2 linked regions of the Sus scrofa genome follow. The protein of the gene in region 1 binds, or shares a complex with, the protein of each later gene. Links are inferred from orthologs where the notes say so. Each region holds a gene or a part of one and is shown on either strand. Other genes may lie near its edges. The genes, in order: MEP1A and FETUB.

What was found.
Region 2: the proteins of MEP1A (region 1) and FETUB are in contact, whole or in part, in a cryo-EM structure (PDB 7UAI), measured with the Homo sapiens proteins. The link is inferred for Sus scrofa from reciprocal best matches to the Homo sapiens genes MEP1A and FETUB. Residues at the interface, in NP_005579.2 of Homo sapiens: Asp126, Gly127, Cys128, Trp129, Ser130, Glu131, Val132, Gln145, Gly146, Cys147, Tyr149, Ile152, His155, Glu156, His159, Tyr164, His165, Gln167, Ser168, Leu184, Gly186, Tyr187, His189, Asn190, Asp192, Tyr194, Tyr214, Gln215, Phe217, Ser218; in NP_001362516.1 of Homo sapiens: Phe109, Phe110, Lys144, Lys145, Tyr148, Met149, Thr150, Cys151, Pro152, Asp153, Cys154, Pro155, Ser156, Ser157, Ile158, Ser196, Ser197, Gln198, Trp199, Val200, Val201, Gly202, Tyr205, Phe206, Thr242, His245, Trp246, Phe249, Val250, Ser251.

Annotation. Positions count from the first base shown.
Region 1 is NC_010449.5:41,586,101-41,590,575, forward strand, and holds the start of MEP1A (meprin A subunit alpha), read left to right. Parts: upstream 1-1,598; 5' UTR 1,599-1,660; coding exon 1,661-1,729; intron 1,730-1,815; coding exon 1,816-1,840; intron 1,841-1,931; coding exon 1,932-1,982; intron 1,983-2,356; exon of another isoform or gene 2,357-2,512; coding exon of another isoform or gene 2,513-2,519; intron 2,520-4,475.
Region 2 is NC_010455.5:124,479,115-124,483,460, forward strand, and holds the start of FETUB (fetuin-B), read left to right. Parts: upstream 1-1,341; 5' UTR 1,342-1,523; coding exon 1,524-1,751; intron 1,752-2,231; coding exon 2,232-2,342; intron 2,343-4,162; coding exon 4,163-4,250; intron 4,251-4,346. UniProt on the Homo sapiens protein: Protease inhibitor required for egg fertilization.

The sequences.
Region 1 (4,475 bases):
TACTGCCTGTCTTTTGCCAAGAGGCTGTAAATGTGGACAGAAGGAGCTACAGTTTACCAAGTGCCTCTTATAACCTGTGATTTACATAGGTTGTCTCATTGAATCCCCAGAAAGTAGGTACCGCTCTCCATTTTCCACCTGGAAAGCATATTCTCAAAATGTCACACCTGGTCAGTGGTAGCTGTGAAACTCAATTTTCTATCCACCTGATTCCAAAGTCCCCATTAGAGTATATTGTGCAGGTAAGTCTAAGAAGGAAGGGAAAGATAAAAGCACATCTGGCTGGAAGCAAGGTTATGTCTATTGACAGATGAATGGATAAAGAAGATGTGAGATAAATACACACACACACACACACACAATGGAATATTAGCCATAAAAAAGAATGAAATAATGACATTTGCAACATGGTTGGACCCAGAGATTATCATACTAAGTGAAGTAAGTCAGGATGAGAAAGACAAATATCATATGATATCACTTAGATGTGGAATCTAAAAAAAAAAAAATACAAATGAACTTACTCATAAAAACAGACTCATAGACATAAGAAAACAAATTTATGGTTACCAAAGGGGAAAAATTAGGGAGGGACAAATTAGGAGTTTGAGATTAACATATACACACTACTATATATAAAGTAGATAGGAGTTCCCATCGTGGCGCAGTGGTTAACGAATCCGACTAGGAACCATGAGGTTGCGGGTTCGGTCCCTCCCCTTGCTCAGTGGGTTAACGATCTGGCATTGCCGTGAGCTTTGGTGTAGATTGCAGACGCGGCTCAGATCCCGAGTTGCTGTGGCTCTGGCGTAGGCCGGTGGCTACAGCTCCGATTGGACCTCTAGCCTGGGAACCTCCATATGCCGCAGGAGCGGCCCAAGAAATAGCAAAAAGACAAAAAAAAAAAAAAAAAAAAGACAAAAAGTAGATAATCAGCAAGGACCTACTGCATAGCACAGGGAACTATACTTAAATATTTTGTAATAACTTACCAGGGAAAAGAATTTGAAAGAGAATATATGTCTATATGTGTGTGTGTGTGTGTGTGTGTGTGTGTGTGTGTGTGTACCTATAACTGAATCACTATGACATGTTATGATATTGTAAATTAACTATCCTTCAATTAAAATTTAAAAAAAGATTTTATGGCAATAATATTGAATTTATAGATAAAATGATGACCATCTCTATTATATTGAGTCTTCCCACTCATGAATATTTCATATATAAATATATGTGTATACGTGTGTGTTTAGATAGCTCTTTCTAAGGTTCTTCAATCATTACCTTATAACATTTACGTACAATTCATTCATTTTTATTAGAGTTAAGCACTTCATAATAATTATAGATTATTTTTATTTCTATTGTGCAATGGATATTTTATCTGTTATATGAAGTTATTGCTTGTATACAAAAATGTTATTTATTTTTATATGCTCATATCAGTATCAACTTTTTCAGACTTTTCCCTGGTCTCTGGCACTTGAGCTTTTCTGCTAAAATTAATATCTGCCCTCAAATGGGGCAAAGACATTTTCTTTGACGACTTCAATGCTACAGAACATGTGTAAGGGTCAAAGTTTCTAATATGACAGCCAGAGCAAAGTCCAAGTATTTATCACAAGGTGTCTTTGCTAAAATCTGTTCACTTGCAGCAATGATTTGGACAAGATCTCCTTGCATTCTCTCTTTCATCTTGTTTTTTGCCCATATAGCTGCTGTATCGGTAAGTAGAGTTCTGCTTCTCAACTTACTTAGAAACACTAATTCTAGTATACATTATCCATTTTCTGTATATTTATTTCCTTTCAGATTAAACATCTTTCCAAAGGAAATGGTAAGAATTAAGTAAAATGCATAATGTGTTTCTGAGCTTTTTCTGTTTCATTCAGCAATACGTATAACAATTTCCCCCCCACTTTTAACAGTACATGATGGAGATTTTGATGAACAGAAGGATATTACAGAGATCAACTTAGGTGGGTGCCATTTCTGTCATTATTGATGCCTTTAAATAATTTAAAACCCTATGATAGAACTGCTAAAAAGCGCTTATGTTCATGATACAGTATTGGGTAACTTTAGGGGAAAACCATGATCGGAATTTGCAGAATTTCTAAAAAATGGAAATGTGGAAAGAGAAAAATGATTACACCAAAATTTCTAGAACTAGTGAGTGCTCAGTGGATCTAGAAATATAGAATAAGATTTTCGCTTATAAGACATTCATTTTTCCAGTTTTCAATTTGAGAAAAAGAAGGCAAAAATGGATGATTATTTTTCTTGCTAAAGAAAAATATAAGGAATATATCTTTGCTTAGGTTTAATGGGAAGAAAACCCTTGTCCCTCCAGAGTCCCTCTCCTGGCCCATCATATGAACAACATCAAACTAGCAACTATTTGCCTAGGACTCAGAAAAGAGTGTAAAGTGTCTCCGTTTCAACATCTTGACCACACACATATGCCATGAAGACATCCGTCAGTCTCACCCATCACTGAGAGAAGAAGATGCCATGTAATCCTCTCTCTTTGCCCTCTCTTGTCCTGCTTCTAATGTGAGGAAGAAACCTTGAGATTCTGGGAATCTTTGGTTAAGATTGGTGGGAAATAGAGGTTCTGGATTTGTGATCATAAATATCTTCTAGAACATAAAAACCTTCATATTCAATTGCATATTTATTTGTCAAATATTGTAGTGGGGTGAGTGCAGGTTTCACTTTGCAGGAAAGAAACAGGAGGCTCCTCTGGGTCAAGGTAAGTCACCCAAGTTCACGGATGGCAGTGATGGAGCTCACCATCAGGTCTTCTGACCCATAGCTCCATAACTCAGTCCTATTTGAAGACTATAAAACTAAAACGCCCCATACCTTAAGGTAAAATTTCTCTGGATTTATCCCACTTACAGAGAAACCAAGTTAGGTGATATTTTGTTGGCAAACCTTGAGAATGACTAGAGGGGCAAGTAGAAATAGTTTGAGAGGGTAAATGGGTCTCAAGATTTCAGAACCAGACATCAAATCATCTTTCTTTAGAGTCAGGCTGTCAAGGTATGTGTAAATAAGAGGGTCTGCTATACTTTAATGGTCCTCAGGTAGGAAAGCCTTAATGCCTTAAGCAATACTTCTCAAACTTTATTTATTTATTTATTTTTGCCTTTTCTAGTGCTGCTCCCAGCTCCTGCGGCACATGGAGGTTCCCAGGCTAGGGGTAAACTCGGAGCTATAGCCACTGGTCTACGCCAGAGCCACAGCAACATGGGATCCGAGCCACATCTGCAACCTACACCACAGCTCATGGCAATGCCAGATCCTTAACCCACTGAGCAAGGTCGGAGATCAAACCTGCAACCTCATGGTTCCTGGTTGGATTCGTTAACCACTGCACCACAACGGGGAACTCCAATACTTCTCAAATTTTAGCATCAGAATCCCTTGGAGGGCCTAATGAACACAGATCAGATTATTTCCCATATTAGGGCTGCTCTAAAGCAGGACCTTCCTATTTGCTGTTGCCTCTCTTCATGCTCCACTCCACTAGATTTCTGCTTAAAAGCCACCTCCTCAAGAAGGTTTTCCCTGACTACCTTTTACCAGTATCAACCTTCCTTCAGCTCAACACTCTTTACCCCCTTTGCTCTGTTTTATGTTTTTTTTTCCCCTAAATTGTATTTTTCACCATCTGCCATACTTGACATTTATTTGTTTGTTTGTATCCCCTCCTTCCCCAATCAAGAATGTCATCTCCCCTAGGGCTTTATTTTCTTTTCTGTTGTGCCCTCAACATCTAGAACAATGCCTAGGACACATTAGCCACCTAATAAGTAAATGCTACATGAATGAATTGGGTAGTGAATAAGCTGAGGCTTGCTTTTAATGGATTTGCACTTTGTGAAATTCTCCTATGGCACTCTCTCCTTTGTAACCCCATCCTGCTGACAGACCCATGGGGTCAAGGTCCCACTGAGCTTGTTCACATCCTCCCTGGAAGAGCCCTTCCCTCACCCCCATTCCTAAGCCAGGTCAAATGTCAGGAAATGTGTAATTTTGCTCTCACACCAAGCCTAGGTAAGAGTATGGAAGGACAAGCCCATCATAGCCCTACTGAAAAGGCAATTCAAAACCTGGGTCCTGCTGCCTCTGGGGCAGTAGTGTCATTGCTATTTGTTGTTATTTAACTGTGCTGTTATAGGAATAGGCTATGGTCCTTAGGTTAAGAAAGTCTAGGAAATATGTGTATGAGGAAAGGGGTGATGCAGGAATCTCTTGAGTTAGACATTAGCAAGTGAAGCCAGGAAGCCTTCTACCACCTCCATGGTGTCATTGCAGAGCCTGAACCCAGATCTTGAATGAGCCATAGGCTTTGCCCAGTGAGACCACTGCTTCCATGTAAGGTTGTGGTGATTGTTCTTTAGTTTGATTTCCCAGCTGTAAATCAGGGGCTGTTTTCAGAATGAGGTACAATCTGATGATCC
Region 2 (4,346 bases), on another chromosome or scaffold:
GTGTTAGTTTCTGGTATACAGCAATGTAATTCAGTTACACTTATATATGCATAGTCATTTTCAGATTCTCTTCCATTACAGAGTTATTACAGAATATTGAATATAGTTCTCTGTGCTATACAGTAGGACTTTGTTGGTATCTAGTTTATATATAGTAGTTTGTATCTGCTAATCCCAAACTCCTAACTTATCCCTCTCTGCTCCCTTTCCCATTTGGTAACCATAAGTTTGCTTTCTATGTCTATGAGTCTATTTCTAATTCATAAATAAGTTTGTGCCACATTTTAGATTACACACATAAGTGATATCATATGATGTTTGTCTTTTTCCGATTTACTTCACTTAGTATAATAATCTCTAGGTCTATCTATGTTGCTGCGAATGACAATATTTCATTCTTTTTTATGGCTGAGTGATAGTCCAGTGTGTGTGTGTGTGTGTGTGTGTGTGTGTGTGTGTGTGTGTAGAATAGAATATATAGATTATATATCTTTTTTATCCATTCATTTGTCTATGGACATTTAGGTGCTTCCATATCTTGGCTGTTGTAAATAGTGCTTCAGTGAACATTGGATACATGTATCTTTTCAAATTAGAGTTTTCTCCAGATATATGCCCAGGAGTAGGATTGCTGGATCATATGGCAAGTCAATTTTTAGTTTTTTAAGGACCTTCCATGCTATTTTCCATAGAGGCCGCACCAATTTACATTCTCACCAAGAGTGTAAGAGGATTCCCTCCACACCCTCTCCAGCATTGGTTATTTGTAGACTTTTAGATGATGGCTGTTCTGACCAGTGGGAGGTAATACTTCAATATAGCATTGACGTGCATTTCTCTAATAATTAGCAATGTTGAGCATCTTTTCATGTGACTGCTGGCCCTCTGTATGCTAAATGGAACTCTTTCCAGCCAGATCCCAGAGTGCTTTAGGAATCTCACTGAGGCTTCATGTAGATGATGTGGGGTTGAAGCCTTTTTCCTGATCTAACAAGAATGGTGAACCCAGGAGGTCGGGCGGGAGGTCAGAACTCACTGAGCACCATTGGTACCATGACTTTGGGCTCCGAGTCTGAGATGAAGAGAAGTGTAGCCAGGACATGGGCTGGAGGCGAGATTCTAGTGCCCAAGGGAGAACGTGACAGTCGTCATCTTCTGAACCGGCTTGAGCCCTGCACACAAGCAAGAATTCAATCGTGACCTCCCAGGAACCTTGACCTAAGAGTTTATTTTGCTTTCCTAGGAAAAGATTAGGAAACTTAAATCTGTTTACAGGTAACCATGAGTATCAGATTGCTCCGGGGTCCAAGGTTAGATATATTGGCAAATCCTATCCTAAGTCCTGACTCAGGGAAATCTACATTTAGAATTCAAGCAGATAAAATAGGGCCCTGTGTTTCAAATCCTGATCCCTGGTTCAGGTTGCAATTACAAGGCTGCTTAAATTGCTCTTGCAGAGCCCTGTAAGTAGCTGTCCTTGTGGCTCCTCATACTGACCCCTGCCTGGCCTCACTCCCCACAGGATGGGTCTGCTCCTCCCGCTGGTGCTCTGCGCCCTGGCCGTGGGCTGCGGGGCTACATCTCCACCCCAGCCGCTGCCCCCTACATCCTCGCTTCTCCTCTCCCATGCCTGCAACAGCTCTTATGTGCTGGATGTTGTGAACCTCGTCCTGCAGGAGATCAACAGGAACCAGAAGGACGGCTACGTGCTGAGCCCCAACCGAGTGAGCGATGTCCGCGAACACAGACAGGCAAGTGGCAGTCCCCTCCAGGGCAGGTGTTTGCACAAGCCAGGGAGGCTGCCAAGGGGACAGGAACCCAGAGACACATGTTGGCAGGTACCTTTCAAATCGGAAAACCTGCTGAGTACACACCAAGCTCCTCTGCTAGAGTGCTACATGTTCTTAATGCTATTAGGAACAAGTACTAATCTACTCTGAAACGTACTGTGTCCCACCGTTTCTATTTTCACAGAGTTCCCTGGTTGCCTAGTGGTTAAAGATCTGTCGCTGTCACTGCTGTGGCGCGGGTTCAATCCCTGGCCCAGGAACTTCTGCATGCAATAGGAACAACCAAAAAAAAGAAAAAAAGAAAAAAAGGAAGAAAGATAGAAATCTTCACAAACATTATAGCCTTTGTTTAGCTTTGCCATAAAACAGGGATTTGGGGGGCCAGGCTTTAGGGGTTTCTGCTTCATGTAGGTTGTGCATTTTCTCCTCACCTTCCTACAGGGTGACCTGGGATCTCTGTTCTATCTCACGCTGGACGTGATAGAGTCTAGCTGCCATGTGCTCAGTAAGATGTCATGGAAGGACTGTGGGCTGACGCCATTCCATGAATCGGTAAGTGCTTGTGTCCAGGTGCTTGAGCAGGAAAACTAGGTGACCTCTGTCTTCAGAATGAAGATTGTTCAGCATGTACCATCTTTAAATGTCCCACTTTATAATCTCTTGAGGAGGGTGCCTATGTAGTTATTCCAATTCTATAGACAAAATAGAGTTTCATCAGAGGGATTTCTGAGAGTTCAATTTCTGGTGTCTGGGTCATGAGAAATTGCCCCCAGATGCAAACCACTGCCTTTAGAATGAACAAGCAATGAGGTCCTGCTGTATAGCACAGGGAACTGTATCTAATCACTTGCGATGGAACATGATGGAGGATAATGTGAAAAAAAGAATGTATATGTATGTGTATAATTGAGTCACTTTGCTGTGCAGCAGAAATTGACAGAACATTGTAAATCAACTATAATAATTTTTTTAAAAAAAGAAAGAAAGAAATAAGAAAAGAAAGGAAAGTTGTCCCCAAGTTGTTTCCCACCTCTTGTAGGACCCTCCTATAGGCTCTGAGCCAATGTTTAAGTTGCGGGAGAAAAAAAAGAAGATGTCTGAGGTGTAGCTCTCTGGATGTGTATCCAAGGAAAACTGTAGAAGCAGTGGAGGGGCAACTCTGAAATTTGTTTTATTTTGCTTTATTTTGTTTTAATTGACACTGATACAAGATTTGAGGCTGGAGAGAGGGAAAGCTATGGTATGAGAGCTCTTAGAGGTACCATGGATAAAGGACTTTCTGGAATCACAGCACCTAAAATGAGTCAAAATTGATGACCAGAGAAGACGCTTGAAAAGAACACAGTTTTCATCTGGTTCTCAATTATCCTGAGATTATTTTTATTAATGGATATGAAACTTTGTGTATACAGGATTGTGGTATACGTCTTTAGAAATGAACTCTTTGACCAAGATATCTTTCTCTAATCACTTAACCAAATGTGTCAAACTCACCTACCTGGTTTTGAAAAGCAAATCATCTATTTACCCTGGGAATTATGTTTAAGGAGACACTAACTGCTATAACATATACACTAAAAAGTGTATACTGATCGCAACATGATAGAAGTTGATTTTCCCATTTATGCAAAGTTCAAATAGAAAGCTGGAGTTCCTGTCATGGCTCAGCAGAAACGAATCTGATTAGCATCCATGAAGACAAAGGTTCAATCCCTGGGTTCGCTCAGTGGGTTAAGGCTCCGGCATTCCCATGAACTGTGGTGTAGGTCACAGGTGCAGCTCAGATCTGGCTTTGCTGTGGCTGTGGATGTGGCGGGCAGCTGCAGCTCTGATTGGACCCCTAGCCTGGGAACCTCCATATGCCAGGGGTGTGGCCCTAAAAAGACCAGAAAAAAATATAGAAACTCCTCATCAGTGAGGGGCTCTCCTCCACGAGTGATTTGTCAACCCAGGTTCCCTCCATGCTGTGGCCTTGGACTCTGCTGCCCTCAACTCATGGTTCTGTGGTCACCATGCTCATCTACATCAACCTACAGAAAGGGAAAGAGCCTGGAGGACAGAGAGCACATGGGAGAGCCTTATGGGCTAGGCTTAGAAGTGGTTACCCATCCGTTCTGCTCACCTCACTGTGGTTAGAACTCAGTTACACACAGTCCTATCTAAGTAGGAAGGAGGCAGGGAAGTAGTGTAGCTGCAGCCCAAGAGAAGGTTGAACTCTTTGATGATCAGCTGGCAGGTTTCCCCACCCTAAACCACCAAAATTGACCTTAGGTTTCTCATTACTTAAAAATGAAATATCCAATTTCATCTGGGGTATTTTTTAAAGCCATAATTCATTTTACCATGTCGTAAAATGTATTTGTTGATTCCAGGAATATGGTCAATGCAAAGCAATATTTTACATCAATAAGGCAAGAAGAATTCACTATTTACCTGCTTATAACTGTATTCTTCGCCCAGGTAAGAGATCACTCTGATTTTGTTCATTTTAATAATAAATGGAAAATGAGCATTTAAGTATACTATGCTATAGTATGTAGCATTTCTCCCATCCTT